Linked DNA regions of Kluyveromyces lactis. The main gene of each other region encodes a partner of the protein of the gene in region 2 in a complex. Links are inferred from orthologs where the notes say so. Each region holds a gene or a part of one and is shown on either strand. Other genes may lie near its edges.

The links.
Region 1: the proteins of POT1 (region 2) and PEX21 are in contact, whole or in part, in a crystal structure (PDB 3W15), measured with the Saccharomyces cerevisiae proteins. The link is inferred for Kluyveromyces lactis from reciprocal best matches to the Saccharomyces cerevisiae genes POT1 and PEX21. Residues at the interface, in NP_012106.1 of Saccharomyces cerevisiae: Met1, Ser2, Leu5, Gln6, Ile8, Lys9, Leu12, Val13; in NP_011755.3 of Saccharomyces cerevisiae: Leu199, Ile202, Ala203, Asp205, Ile206, Cys209, Cys210, Thr211, Leu231, Phe236, Met240, Ile243, Leu250, Leu262.

What each region holds. Positions count from the first base shown.
Region 1 is NC_006041.1:1,381,174-1,388,954, forward strand, and holds PEX21 (Pex21p), read left to right. Parts: upstream 1-4,628; coding exon 4,629-5,549; downstream 5,550-7,781. Other genes in the region: KLLA0_E15401g (uncharacterized protein), read right to left, coding at 1-210; HFL1 (Hfl1p), read left to right, coding at 379-1,662; KLLA0_E15445g (uncharacterized protein), read right to left, coding at 2,057-3,037; TDA11 (Tda11p), read right to left, coding at 5,753-7,081; KLLA0_E15511g (uncharacterized protein), read left to right, coding at 7,453-7,781. UniProt on the Saccharomyces cerevisiae protein: Receptor that mediates peroxisomal import of proteins containing a C-terminal PTS2-type peroxisomal targeting signal via its interaction with PEX7.
Region 2 is NC_006042.1:997,882-1,006,048, reverse strand, and holds POT1 (acetyl-CoA C-acyltransferase), read left to right. Parts: upstream 1-3,208; coding exon 3,209-4,423; downstream 4,424-8,167. Other genes in the region: formin BNR1, read right to left, coding at 1-2,222; SMU2 (Smu2p), read right to left, coding at 4,524-5,150; KLLA0_F10835g (Zn(II)2Cys6 transcription factor domain-containing protein), read right to left, coding at 6,267-8,167. UniProt on the Saccharomyces cerevisiae protein: Responsible for the thiolytic cleavage of straight chain 3-keto fatty acyl-CoAs (3-oxoacyl-CoAs).

The DNA.
Region 1 (7,781 bases), on a different chromosome or scaffold from region 2:
GGTAAAGGAATCGTGATTAGGGATTGACCTAGCAACTTGCGTCAAATGAAACCCTACGCCAAATCCTAGAACAAATCGAACAGATAATATGACTAAAACAATTCCTAGCATGATTGTGAACTCTCTTATACAGTAATTGCACCTCAGATCAAAGGGTTCAAAACATGTTACTACCTCTACTCTTCCTTCTTTAATTTCATCTCTGCTCATCTCATCTCATCTCATCGCACTTTATTTATTTCAACAAAAATATCAAAACGGTAACCCTTTACAAAATAATCATAATATATATATGTCAGAATAATCATTAAAAGAACAAAGCAACCAAGACAAATTGACAGGTAAACCACACATTTCAGGACCGTCTACTGCATTTGTATGTTTTCTTTTGTACGACACTTTGATGAGTGGAACCTTGCTGCTATTACCTCAGGTGCTTCTCTTCCGAACTGGCTGATATATTTGTGTGGTATTTGTACAATAGTTGCCACAAGTATATCCATTATTTCACAATGCGGGCAGTTGTGGAATTATAGAATTCCTTCGCAGCAAAGGTTGATATTAAGGATCCAGATGATGGTACCTATATTTTCCATCTCATGTTTTGCTTCGATTTTACGACCAGAGATAGGCGCCATTTATATTGATCCGATTAGAGAAATTTATGAGGCATTGGTCATCTATCAGTTCTTTACGTATTTGACTTTACGACTAGGTGGTGAACGGAATATCATCATCAACATCGCGCCAATGTATCCACCGAGCAGGCATGCTATCCCATTCTTTGGGCGTTACCTACAAAGAATCGATCTTAGTGATCCTCACGATTTCGAGACGTTGAAGCGTGGTGTTTTACAATACGTTTGGTTCAAGCCAGTGTACTGTATCGGTATGGCAACGTTTGAAGCGTTCCAATGGAATACCGTCTGGTTAGTAATATGCTACAATATCAGTGTGACATGGTCTCTTTACTGTCTCGCGATGTTCTGGAAATGTTTGTACACAGAGCTTTCAGTATTCAAACCATGGCCGAAATTTATGTGTGTCAAGTTGATTATTTTCGCATCGTACTGGCAAAGTCTCATTATCAACGTTTTAACGATTATAGATGTCATTGATATACATGGTGACGACAAATATGTGGCATTTGAGATCGGTAATAGTGTACTTTGTGTTGAAATGATTGGATTTGCTATTGCACATTGGTATGCGTTTTCAAGTGACGAATACGGTCCGGACAAGTACCCAAACTCTGGAAGGTTGAAGATCCTCTATGCTTTGAAGGACTGGCTTGGTTTTAAAGATCTATGGTGGGATTTCAAGAGTGTAATAAATGGTGATTACAGAGATTACAGGAGCTTTGACTCGGTGGAATCAATGCTCGCGGACAGAGACACGCACTCAAGAACCAACAGATTGACTAGGGGATTAAGGTACACAAATCAGGGTATGTCATCTTACTGGGTCGGATCTAGTGGATATGGCAGCACCGAAACTGATAACGGGAACGATTTAGAATCGGCATGGACTGATATCACTGAAGGTTTGAATTTGCCAAGGTATATTCCAGAGGACAGCAATTATCCAGTGGTCTGGGACGCAACATCACATCGATATGATGCTAGAATTGATGATTTGAGGAAACAAATGAGGTCGAAGTAAATGTTTTTTAAGGGTGGGACTTTTGTATTGTACTTACTAGTGACAGGAAGAGAGGGCAGTCATGATTTTAGAACAAAGAGAAAACAGCAGCAATAGCGTTTAATTGTGGGAGAAATGACAAAATCTATATGGATATATGAAACGCTTAAATATACATACAATATCTACAGGGGATATATAGCAGTTAGAAATTGTGGAATAAAAGACCATGCTGCCAGATAAAAAGGAATAACAGGGGAAGAAGAAGGTAAAAGATTGGTGACTCTAAATATAAGCATGTCAAGTAAAACGAATACTAAGAGCACAACATTGTGGAATTGGGGAGGGGTAAGCGTTATACTTTGTGCGTGTTTGTAAGGGGGGGGGGGGGGTCATTAGATCATTCAAACGATATTTATAATGAGGGTTCTTGCTTTGTGAACAATAAATGTTTAGCAAATTCGTAAGAGGTCCAGGAGATAGCAGTTGCAGGGATATTAGAAATAACTCTTGGTTGTAAACCTCTCCAGAAACCTTTCCAACCGTAAGATTGCCATATGGCTTGAGCAGCTTTCTTGAAAGTATTTGCGGTTTTGAACGATTCCACATGGACGGTATCGCTCCCTCTAATCTGTAACACTGTCTTGATGCAATCTAAAGGCGTGGTAACAGCTGCACAAGTGGCACCGGCGATACCACCACACAAGCAATGGATCCAAGGGTTGTATGCATTAGTTGGGTTGAAGAACTTAGTACTGGATTCGTAAATCACGAAGTTCAAAGCTGCGAATGGGATATTCATAGCCAAAGTGGTTGGATAACTGTAAAAGAAAGCCATTGGACCTTCGTTCTTATAAATGTTGAAAGCCATTCTCCACATGGAAGAGTCACTACTCTTGGATTGCAATTGCAACCTCTGTTTGATTGTATCGAAGGGGTTCATTAATGCATCTGCGGCCACAGTGGCAGCAACACCACTGACGGCAGTTTTCAACGGCTGATGGGTATTGAAATCCTTAGCGTCGATCAACTGTTCTTTACAAAATTCATAAGTTGCAAAATATACTGCATGAGCAGGGCCTGCACCCATCACCATAGACTGCACACCTCTCCACAACGCAAGGGACCCCTCTGTAGAAGAGATTCTCGATATCTGTTGTAAAAGGGTACCCGCACCGGCACCACCACTGGCAGCACCGGCACCACCAGATGCCGACGCCGACGCCGCAGCCTTAATTTCCGATACTGCTTGCATTCTAGTCTTCAAAGCATCGATAGGAAACATGATCGAATGTTCCATGATACCTGCAAACGCTCCTGCAATCAATTGATATGATAGTGGTGCAGTATCTGGCAAAGCCTCATAATCAATCTCCTGAATACCTGGGTCAGACATGCTAAAATGATCACTCTCTTTCTCTTTTTCTATCAGACCAAAACTCAATCAAACCAAGAAAAAAAATAGCAGAGTGTTTCAAAACTAACAACTTCTTACCTGATTAAAAGGATTCGGTGGTGTATTAAGACAAATTCTGGGATTGTTGATGAACCAAATGCTGTCAAAACTCGGTCTCTTCTCTCTCTTTCTCTGTATCTATACTGATTGAAGAGTTTGAATTTTTCAAATTTTTCACAATTTAGGCTTTCACTCTATGTAAAGGAAACAAAAGCGCAATAAACTGGACCTGAAATCTGGGTGAAGAAGCAACGACTTAGCCGGAGGAAAAACGGTTCTTGCCTTGCTGAATGATACCGGATAACTATAAACTAATCTGAATATTCAGCTACTGTTATATAATTATCTAAAATTGGATACTGAACCCAGGAAGGGTATCAAGATATATTCTCCGTTTATACATCAATTTTTCATCATTACAATATATTCTCTTTCTCTAATGATGCAACGGAAAATTGACAAATGACCAATAAATGGGCGACTCATCTGGCACCAATCGAAAAGAAATACACGATGACTGACTTAATTAATTTAACCGGTACAGTACCCAGCCATGTGATACCTAAATTTGATGCCTTGGCTCGAATAAAGGAACTTAAGCCATACGAGTGAACAGGGCAGCTTTCGCTGCCCTGTTCACTACTAAATTGCCTGTTCAAATTGGCTTTGCCCTTTGGCAATGACAGATTCTATTTCTTTTTCTTCCTTTAACTACTGGCATATTGAGTTAAGAAACACCTGGGAATGATCTCCGGGTAACGCGGAAAAAAAACCCACCTCTTGCTGCACCCCTTTTTTCATTGTCCACACTGTGCTTTGCCCGATTTTGCGGGTGTCGCACGACGACGGAGTTTATTTCCGCCGTTTCAGGCAAGGGAAGAGCTGAAACGGCTGAGTGACGGGTGGCGGCCGGGTAAGGAAAGAAAATACACTGATTACATAATACCATCCACGTGACGTAGTCACGTGGATGGTATTATGTAATCTCAGAGTTGAATGTCCGAAAGCATTCTTTTTTTTTTTTCTTCCTTCCTTTTCCTTTTCCCCCGGGGTTTAAAAATTCCGTTCCGTCCCGACCGGCATTCATTATGCAACTAATCGTCTTTTAGATTATCAAAATGTCAAATGATTATTCCATTTCGACCGAACTACCGCCTCTCCACTTGCTTACGTACTGTTTTTGGGTTCCCTCATCTAATAGCTTCCTCAATCGGCTAGAAGTGCCAGTACTGGTCTTCAGAAGTCCATAGAAAGCCTCACTGTTACCCGGGGGGTTTGCGCATCTGTCGCTCTTTCACTTTTTTTTTTTTTATTCACTTCCATTCCACATCTTTCAACCGTTAGTGGTCTGAACTTGTTTCATTTCTTTATTCATAATTTCTTTCTTTCGTCCAGGTTCTGCATTTATTATATATATATATATATATGTATATAAATAAAGTTTGTACATTGCTTGTTTCGATGATTTGCGGACTAGTTGTCTTATGTCTGTTGCTCGAGGAGACTACCACCAACCAAGAAATATAATACCATGTCAGTGTGTCAAACGAATCCTTTGAACACTCTTGTTTCGAAGTCTGGTTATAGGTTCGGACAGCCGAATCAGCACCAACAGAGCATCGCACAGCAGCAGAGCAGACCAAGAAATAATGCACTAGACCACCAGTTCTCTCAGTTTACTGGTGCCTCGGGTCCCAGTTTCGCTCATCCACAGCATCAACAGCTGCCTATGGCAGCTGTTGTTGCTAACGCTACTACTGCAGCCAGTACTACTAGTAATACTGCTACAGCCTCTGATCACCATGTTTGGATCGATCAGTTCGCAAACATGCAGGTGCACGACAAGACCGAGTTCCCAACAGATTATAAACAGATGTATTCGCAGTACGAGGCGCGTGGCGCCTCGTACTCCATGGGTGCACCGGTGATGGTGTCCCATTCACAAATGTTCCCGCGTCATCAGCAATCTCTGATGGTGAACCAACTCGAGTCACAAGCGTATGCCAGTAGTAGCGCGAAGCTCGATGAACAATTTGCTGAACTGGAAAGACAAGTGCAAGACGATGAAAAAGAACAGCAACAGGACAAGGATGACGATTTCCATCTCAAAGAAACGTCTCCTCTAGACGAAGATCAACGCCAATTAAAAGAAGCAGCCCAATCCATTTACACAACTCTTTCAGATAAATCATCTACAACTAGTTCGAAATTTTCGAACTCCAAGTTCCTTGGACTCATGAGAAATATCAGCGATGGTGTAATAACTCTGAAAAAGAACCCAGATGAGGATAAATATACGGAATTATATTCTCCTTCTACCGGTGAAACTTTTGGCGAAGAGTATTTCCCAGTGCAGGATAGTGTTTTAGGCGACCCCTTGGACTCCATTGGTGACTTATCTAATATGAGTTCATCGGAAGCCGCTGCAAAAGTGTACCATAACTCCGTTTGAAAAAAAAAAAATAAAATGGTATTACTAAGTATGAGTGGAGGGGTATTTCTCTGTTGTCAGATCTACTGTTATTTTGTCGATACATATTGAGTTAGAGTTACTCTACACTCACGTGGAAAATCACCTGGCAGGATCACCATATTCTACTTACTTCCCAATATTAGATTAACTTAGCTAAAGCTTAGTTCCAAAAATAATCTTATTTAATGACTATAATGATACATTTCAATCTCTTTTGCTTGAGTTGATGATTCTGCCTTTCTTGTGCCGTAATCTTCCATATTGGTAGCAAGACCAGTCGCTATCGTGCCTATAGACCCATCAGCATCTTCTTCCTCTGTTGCTAGTAACCCAAGCCCGTTTTTAAACTCATTTACTAAGGACCAAATCGCACTTCCCGCATTGTCGTCACCTTTTGGCTTGCCCTCTGATTGATTTTCAGTTGCACTGGATCCCGAGTCGCCTAATCCTAACTTCGTTTCAACGGTCCCCTGAATAATTTGGTCAAATTGGTTGAGTAATGAAACGGATTTTGTCCATAACGAGCTTGATTTGTTATCAGCGGTTTCTGCGTTGTTACTTTCCCCATGGGATTCTGCAGGTAATGTCGTATTAGAGTTCTGACCTTGAACTTGATTCCCCACTAAACGGCTAACTTTTTTCTTCAACTGCTGAAGTTCTTCTGCATTCTGTTTTATTATCTTATCTTCAATCTTAATTTGCCTGAAAAGATCGTGAACTCGCCTTGTCCTTTCCAATATCTCTAGTTCCTTGTTCGCCAGTGATTGCAACAAAGATTCCATATCATTATCATCTTCAGAAACAGATGGCACTACTTTGGCGGTGTCGGTCGTAGTTGTAGGCAACTTCAATTTAGTAGCTGGACTTGCGCTAAATTCTGTGGTGGCTCCATCCGGGAGAAGTGATCCAATGCTACTTATGCTGGACCGCACAGATTTTTGTCCGTCATTTCGGTCAAGTTTTGATCGATATTTCCGTCCCAGCGGGGTATTCGATACAGACTCTGATGGTTTGCAATGCTGCTGATATGATTGACGTTGCTGCTGCTTAACTGTGTGCTCTGGAGACATTAATGGCATTATTAAAGACTTTCTTTTCCATGTGTTGCTTCTTCGTATTCCTAGCTCCTGATTGCCTCCCTTGCCATTTGTAGCAGCAGAAACCCCGTTACCATTGTTCTTTACGGTGACTTTACCGGACCCCAATGATACATCGTCCTCGTTCTCCTTCATATTGCCAGTGATATCGTCTTGATCTGAATTATCACCTTTCAACGGATGCGAGTCAAGTGTGCTAGTAGGATCAGCCTTGGTAGGCGTTAATTGCAACTGGATGTTCTTGTTTCTACCGGAACTCCCCACAGACTTGGGACTCATACCGCTGGATCCTTGGTTAAATGTAGGGGTAACGCTCCCTCTGTCCGTAACTTCATGATATATTTTACTCTTAGTATCAATATCGTTCTCTTTGTCTTGAAGGTCTATAAATTTCTCCAATACGTCTCTATCCATTGTTTATACCCAAACCGTACACATAAAGATCTAATTTGATTCAAGCCTAGCTTCTTACTACGGTCAGATCAGCCTTTTTACCCTTATCCTTAACTTGTACACTAAAATCAAGCCCCAAAGTTACTGATTGAAATGATAATTTCAGTCTTTCACAGAATTTCGTGTTGTTATGAAAATGAAACAGTGTAAACTTGAAGTTACCAGAAATAGTTCAGACGGCTGCAACTTTTTGCAGTGCGTAACAGCTTGAGGTTCCCAGCAGTGGCTTTATTACACCAGTTAGTGGAATCAAATACTTTGCATATCACATATCTGATTTATCACTTGCTAAGGAACTGGTATTGCGTATTTAGACGGTTACAAACACAAGAATGGCTCCATTCAAATTTGGAAAGAAACAGAAGAATCGGAAAGATGCTTCTGCATCTCCAAATACAACACCTAATTCTAACAGCACTATTGGTAACACTAGCTTTCAACAAGAATTGAGATCTCCTGGATCTAGTTCTACACCTACCAAACAGAACTATCCAAAACCAGCTGCAGATTCTGGGTTACTTGCGGCTCAACAACGCGTTATGGTCAGTCCTGTTGAGCAACGATCTACGTCCACTCAGAGTACCCTACAGCAGCAGGTGTTCACGCCATGGAATAGAATTAGACTAAAGCAGTCCCCTTTCCCCAGATATAGGCATGTTGC
Region 2 (8,167 bases):
GACAGAGTTGATGGTAATGGTGGAGGCGGAGGTGGAGGCGGAGGTGGAGGCGCGACATTTGACGAAGCACAGGAAGCAGAACTAGTTACTAGGGCCGGTCCATTGGTCATTGGTGAGGTGAAGGCTTCTATACTTTTCAGTTGAGGCGGTAAAGGTGGTGGTGGAGGCGGCGGAGCCGCTGGTGCTGCAATAGAAGCAGGAATCACAAATGCTGTTTGGGCTGATGGAACTTCTGTGGTCGTTGCTGATACTACATCATTACTGGAAGATAGTTTTGGGAGTGCTGATACCTGATGGAATATGTCGTTCTTGCGTGGATATATCGGAGTCACTGGAAGGTCATCGTCAGAATTGTTATTCAAGATGTTATAAGGGGTAGAGTGCGGATATTTTGACTGAGGTTTTTCATTTGCAACAGTGGATAGCGATGCTATACGTTTACTTTTTGATAAGGAAGTTGATCGTTGAGTACCAATAAGCGGTTTATGTTCTTTTAAAGTCTCAAACAGTGACACAGAACGTTTTGGTGTATATTCTGCTACATCTCTATGGGCGATAGTGAGATCCAACTGTTTCTTTTCTTTCTTTAGCTGATTTTCTACAACTTCCAATCTGTCTTGCAATTCTTCTATTCTTATTTCCCTTGATTTCAAAAGTTCTTCTTTATTTTCTAATTTCTGCAGTAGATCCCCTTTGGAAACCTGTTTGTCTTGTAGCAATGTATCCAATTGAAGTTGTATTCCATCAAATTCTTTCTTCTTTTCATCCAGTTCCATCATTGCTCTTTTGGCAATTTGATGGGATTGTAAGTTATCCATTATATGATCTAGTGAGGTCATGAAAACTTGTTCCGTGTTGGTTTCATCAAAGCTACCATCCAAGGTATGTTCGCATAGATAGGTTAGAATAGAATTGAAAACATAGAACAGTTTTATTGAACCTTCCGTTGTTCTTTCATTTACTAGCTCCAAGATCGTTTCTATAATATTGCAAATAGGCGTTTCTAACGGCGTATCTTTAGTATATTCGATTAAACTCTTGATTTGAGGACCATAAGATATTTCACTCAGAAACTCATTTTTGAACTGTTTGTCTTGCACCTTCAATTCAAGTTCGATATACAGGTCTATGTCCTGATTCAAAGCTGATGAGTCTAAATCCTTCATTAGCCGGAAAACCCGGTGTATTCCAGCTCTCTTCCATCTTTTGAAACACGCCAGTTTTAGATCATTGGAAGGCAGAAGTTGTTGAATGGATTGAACCAGTAACAATGTAGATATAGAGTAATCTACGAGCAATTCTTTTGGTTTTGGAAGAATTAAAGAGTTGTTAAACGCATAATCCTCCGGGTTTCGAAGAGTCATTTCTACTGCCTGGATCCAACTTTCGTAGCACAAATCTAACGATTCCAACAAAGAATCTGACCATTCAGTGGAATATGTCAGAAGGATCACAATTTGGGTAGATAAAAGACGAACTCTAAGGTCAGTTGTGAGCGTTCCTAAAAGGCAGAAGACGTAAGTTATCCAATCATTATTCTGGAATATCACAGATCTTGCTGAAGTATCGTTAAGCAATGCTTTATAACAGCATAAGTACACGTACTGGGATTTTTTATCCAATAAATCAATGAACCCATTCAAAATCGAAACTCCGTTTGCATTCACAAACAGCGAAATAAAATCAGCATGTCGAAGTAAACGTTCCAATTGATAAAGTGTTTGAGTAACCGAGAATCTCTTATTCAAATTGCTCAAAATCATATGTAAAGTATTCAATTTTGAATCGTCTTGCATCGTTATATCACCATGTAGTTTCTTTTCCTTCTGAATCAATTCCCATTTACGGGTATACGACAAGCTTTTCAAATTTTGCTTAGCAGTACCTAGAAACGCATGTCCATTCAATAACTCTTCAAACTTGGCATCAATTTCTTGTTCTGACGGTAGCTGAGTGTCTGCTAAACACATTTTATCCGTTTTAGAAACATGTCGCGTAGAATCAACGTTCGGAGTTGAAAAGTTGTGTGATTTCATGTATCGCAGGGTCTGGGAGCGAGGTTTGAGCCCTGTTCCTACTAGATTCAGCCCTTGTATTACCAGATCATCGTTGGAATCATTGCTAGAAAACCTGGTCTTGGCATTTGCAGTCGGAGCATTAATGGATCCAGATCGAAGCGGAAACAAAATACTAATGGATTTTTCATTCTTATCAACAGTCATTGGTCGGTCAAAGTTTGTTGATTTTCAGTTGCAGAATTATAGCCAGAAAAGTGATTTGATACTCATCAATACAAGGAAAACGCGATCATTCAATAATGATCTGGGAGATAGCGAAATAATTTCACTAGATAAACGCTTGTACAAAAAACAATTTGTCAAAGAAAACGATTAATTCTAATGATTAGCAAAGCTGATTGTAGAACAGTTTTAGACTCTCTTCAAGTGTACGTATTTATGGATTTCCTTTGTGTTACAAAACATGTGTACTAAATTTCATACGCTTTTAGTGCTTCATTTTGTTACGTTCCTTAATAGATGGATCAAAAATTAAAAAACGTAAACAAAAACAGGATCAAAAGCTCAGAAACGCACTTTGGAAAGGAAGAAGAGACCAGAAGGAAACAGTACGCGACACGTGAAACAATCTATAGATACTAGTCACGTGAGTTGGATCTTCTTTGCTACCCGGGGTAAGTTTTTTCAACTTGGGGGTTACCCCGCATGCGACGTTGGTCTTTCATTTTTAGGGTATTTCATAACGAAAACCGGAATTAGTGTGACAATGCCGATCTCCAATTCTACGACATAGCCTTGAGCAAAGGCAAATTTGAGACTGTAGTTAGATTAAGTCAGGATCATTGTTAATGACATCGTGGAGCTCCGTAAAGTTTCTGCTTTTCAGTGTTGATGATTAACTGCGAGCTTAATGGCCGTGAAGAAGGGATGTATGCGATCATTAAATCCTCTTTAACATACTCCAAAACGACGGCTGGTTGGTTCTGCTCATTGTTCGTTATTCCCCATATTTATTTTAGCGAGTGATCCCTTTGACAAATAATTTTTTGTATAAATTACGTACATAAATGTGTCATGCTGACATTATTCCTTTATCACTGACTTTTATCAGATGAATTGATTGACAAGTGAACATCATAGGGCAAGATATAAGTATACTACAGGCGAGTACAGTCAATCAGAAATATAATATGGCTAGCAGACTTCAACAATTAGAGAAACATTTGACAGGACGCAGTTCTGAAAAGGATATAAAGAGTAAGAATCCGGACGATGTGGTTGTTGTAGCTGCGTATCGTTCAGCTATTGGTAAAGGGTTCAAAGGAGGATTCAAAGATGTTAACACGGATTATTTACTTACACAGTTTCTGAAGGAATTTTTTGAGAAAGTTGACATTGATAAGAGTGTCATTGAAGAAATTGCGTGTGGTAATGTGTTGAATCCCGGTGCAGGTGCGACAGAACATAGAGCTGCGATGTTAGCTGCTGGTTTGCCATATCAAACTCCGTTAGTGGCTATTAACAGACAGTGTTCCTCAGGGTTAACTGCCGTTAACGACGTTGCAAATAAGATCATTTCTGGGCAGATCAATGTAGGGTTGGCTATCGGGGTGGAATCTATGTCTAAGAACTATGGTCCGAAGGCTCTTGGGTCTATATCAAATGAGTTGAAATCGAACACGGCTGCTGCTAAGTGTATGATACCAATGGGATTTACTAATGAAAACGTTGCTAAGAAGTTCCAAATTTCAAGAGAAGACCAGGACAAATTTGCCCTGGAGTCATTCTATAAAGCGGAAAGGGCTGTCTCACAGGGATTGTTTAAAGATGAAATCATCCCTATTGAACTACCAGACGGATCTATAATTGCGCAGGACGAAGGTCCTAGAAAGGGCGTCACTTTCGAATCGTTACAAAAGATTAAACCTGCATTTGTGAAGGAAACAGGTGTGACAACTGCCGGTAACGCTTCTCAGATATCAGATGGTGTTGCTGGTGTGTTGCTAATGAGAAGATCCATGGCCATGAAATTGGGTTTGGAAATCGTTGGTAAGTACGTTGCGTTCCAGGCAGTAGGTGTTCCACCTGAGATCATGGGTGTTGGCCCAGCATATGCGATTCCAAGAGTCCTCAAAGACTGTGGTTTAAATGTCAACGATGTTGATGTTTACGAGATTAATGAGGCCTTTGCAGGGCAGGCCATTTTCTGTGTCAACCATCTAAAAATCGACAAGAAGAAATTGAACCCAAGGGGAGGCGCGATTGCCTTAGGTCATCCTTTGGGCTGCACTGGTGCCAGACAAGTCGCTACCATATTAAGGGAATTAGACGCTGGTCAAATTGGTGTTGTTAGCATGTGTATCGGTACTGGTATGGGAGCTGCTGCAGTCTTCGTCAAGGAGTGAGTGAATATTAACGTGTGTATAATGTAGTTTCCCTCTTCTGTAATGACCATTTCGATGAATATGATGAGTAACTCATATTATTCGCTACTGTGTTTTTTTTTCAATCAGAGAGTTTTGACATCAGATTCTTCTGTACCGTGTCCCTATTTATATACTCCGGAGACTGCAAAGAATTCCAGTTGGTAACCAAATAGTTTAATTGTATAACTAGCGGCTGTTTATCTTTGAGTAAAGCTTTTGATTTATAATTGAAATTGTTTACAATTCGTGATAACGGGTCATCTGAAGAACAGTCTTTCGGTTTACTTAGCTTTATGGCGGATTGAGGATAATCGACCGGAATGTTGAAAACACATTTCACTTTCTTTTGATTCTGATCTTGATCAGTGGTAATAAACGTTAGCGAGTAGGTCGTGACATATTGTCCTTTCCTTAACATTACAATATCTGACCCAGCCAAATGGCACAATTGGTCAATTTCGGCTTTTCTTTGCAACTTCAAGGCATTTCTCAATTTGAATTTTTTCTCTGCATTTTCATTATGGGATGATTTGGCGGTAATTTCAAGACTGGTTGCCTTCTCTGCAGGTACTGATTTTTCTGCCTTTGACCGTCTCCCTCTCTTCCTCCTATAACTATGTCCAGCATTTTTTCTCTTGTCAGCTTCACTCTCTTTCGTATGTTTAATTACGCCATTCTCAACTTTTCCTGCAGCTTTCGCAGACATGATGGTAACCCGATTGCTTGGCCTGATATTTAGAATCTCTCAAAATAATATCTACCGAGCAGAGTACGCTGAAACGGTTGAGATACCAATGGTTATATAGCTTAAGTTCTTTTTCATAGCTCCCTCATTCTCTATAAACTGATCTCATCTCATATTTCATTAACTTACCATGTCTACTGCCTAAATGCATAAAGTTTCAGTTTTTTTTCACAAAATTGGTACCTGATTGTTGTAGAAAAAACGTGACCAGAGTTGCGACACTGCCTCAATGAATACCGACTCATTCCTGAAGGCATCGAATAAAGAAACATATAGTCATTGGCGGTCAATTTCTGGAGATTTGAAAGTGAATTCAATCTATCAAACTTGATATTCAACCTCCTTAGTTTCTGAATTATGATGTTTTGACTATTACGTGGCTTCTGAGCTTTCAGGTGTTCACCTCTAATACTGTTCTTTGATGGTATCGAGAAGGCAACAAACAAAATCTCGAAGATCATGATCTTCCTCATCTTTTTGAAATTTATTAAAGAATACTACAACTTTTTTAGACTTCCGTGGAAAACATTTCCTATTTAAAGCAAAAAACGAGCTTTCCTTTAGTTAATTGAGGTTTTTGACGGTCAACATAAGTAAATCTAGGAATACTATCACCATTTAATCTCTAGTTAGCATTCCGTAAAAAATTTGTGGCACGACATACTCTCTGCTGTTTTCTCCTTTGTTACATTTTTGAGCGCTGCATCGACCGTTCTATGTTTTGTTTAAATATGCAGGATACGCCATTTTTGTATTTTAATTCCGAATTAATAACGACTTGAAGAGCATTTTTTCCCTAAACTGAACCTTAAACTCAAAACAATAACAGAAAAATTCCGTAAAAAACTTGAATCTGTGCGCTAAAAAAGCTGTTTCTTAATTGAATGAATTTTGGATGGGAGATATATATATATATTCTCACACATCAAGATAAATAAGTAACTGATTGAAAATCTATATTCTTCTATATTATAATTGAAATAGTACAACTTTGGCATGATATTTGTTCCAGTTTAGAGGATTCATTTAAAGTGATTGACTTCGTTATTTTTTTGGACATTGAAAGGGAATATTAACTTAGATGGGGATAAAGTCATGATCAGGATTGATGATATTCTGATAAGCACCAATTGCAACATTAGCTTTGATGGCGTTTAGCTTGTCTACACTATTTTTAGCAACTGCCATTCCGCTGTCGGTGATTTTACTCAAAAGGTCGATGAAATGGACATAAAGCACATCATCTTCAGCTATAATACATGTGAGTGCTCCTACGAACAACGATGGATGGCAGCACACCCCACAAGATGAGTAATAAGGGTTGCTATAAGAAGTTTTCACCATTGTGTATAGAATACTTTTGATCTCAGGAGATTTTGGATCAACATCAAGAAAGTACACCTTGAGATAGACTTCCATTAGAAAGTAAAACATGCTATGCGATGCAAGCATTGAAAATTTCAACCTTAGGTCAGTCACGTCGATGAGATTCAATTCTAGATTCGAATCTAAAACTGCTGAACGCTGTAATTCATCCAGCAATTCTCTACCGAACATAGATAATTGAGGTAAAACTGATTTTGTCGTTCCGTTGACTTTGAAAAGGAAAATGTTTAATCCGGAAATATCGACGCCTTTGTCTTTAAATTCGAACATTCGCAACAAGAGGTGGAAATACACAGAGTTGAGGTTATTGGACATACCTTTCAAGAGATTGAAAGAATTGCCTGTTAACGACAACGGAGAGCTTTCAGTAAGGAAAGCAGTCTTTGTGAATTCAGTGATATCAATTAAAGAAATTCCAAAATTCGATGCGATTGAAGCGGCTGTTTCCGCATGACAGAACCAATCCCTTAAAACACTGTAAATATCAGCAGCATTCTGCTCTAGATCGGTCAATTGACCCTTTGGCATCAATATTGATGCTCTGATCAAAAGCTGTTGACATCCTCTAAGATGAGTTCTCCAGAGATTACTTCTCAAGGCACTATTAGCAAAAAACATGAGGAACACGGTGAATGTTAAGCAAACATACTCCACAAAGTCTTGAGAATTTTGGATTCTTTCATTGATGGTTCCCAACACTTGTTTGAAACTTAAGGCTCTTACATAACGATCCCATATTTGGGAGAAATGATGCAACTTTGCATTTTCATACACGTCCTGCATAAAAACTGAGATGTCATATCGTATAGCATCTTGGACAATTGTATGTTTCTCATTCAAAGACCAGAGACACCGCATGAAGGTATCGAATCTATCATGAGGAAATAACAAGAAATTACCCGCGATCAAAGTCGTACAAGCAAATCTCCAAATGAAGTTAGTTAGGTTGGGATCATCGATTCTGATTTCGCTGATCGCAATTGGATTTACACTTTTGTATGCAGTTTGGAATGGATCCTCTTTCTCTAAAAGTTGTAACATATCTATCCAGACAAAGTTTCTCCAATTTATATCGTATGGTTTTAAAAGAGGTACCCAGTTCTTTAATTCTGTGGCTGAGGTATTAGGTTTGGCATTAAGGTTTGGTAAGCTCAGTAATTTGGCGTCTGATGGGGAGACACAAATGAGATTTTGTAAGTTAAAGTCGTTCAAATCCAGCAGTTGAGCAAAATCAGGTTTCACATTCCAGTGTAATGAATCTGCTTGCTGGGTTGAAAGTTGTTGTTGTTGTTGCTGCTGCTGCGGTATATTAGACAGCAATTGTAAATGTTCCTGCTGTCGTTGTGGTGGCTGTTGTTGTTGTTGTTGTTGTTGTTGTTGTTGTTGTTGTTGATGTTGTGGCTGTTGTTGCTGTGACAGCTGCGGCAGCAGCAATGGCAGTTGTGTAGGTATTTGTGGTTGTCCCTGCGGTTGTCCTTGCGGTTGTGCCAGCGGATGTGCCTGTGAATGTGCCTGTTGATGTGCCTGTTGATGTGCCTGTTGATGTGCCTGTTGATGAACTTGTTGATGGACTTGTGGACGTACTTGTGGAT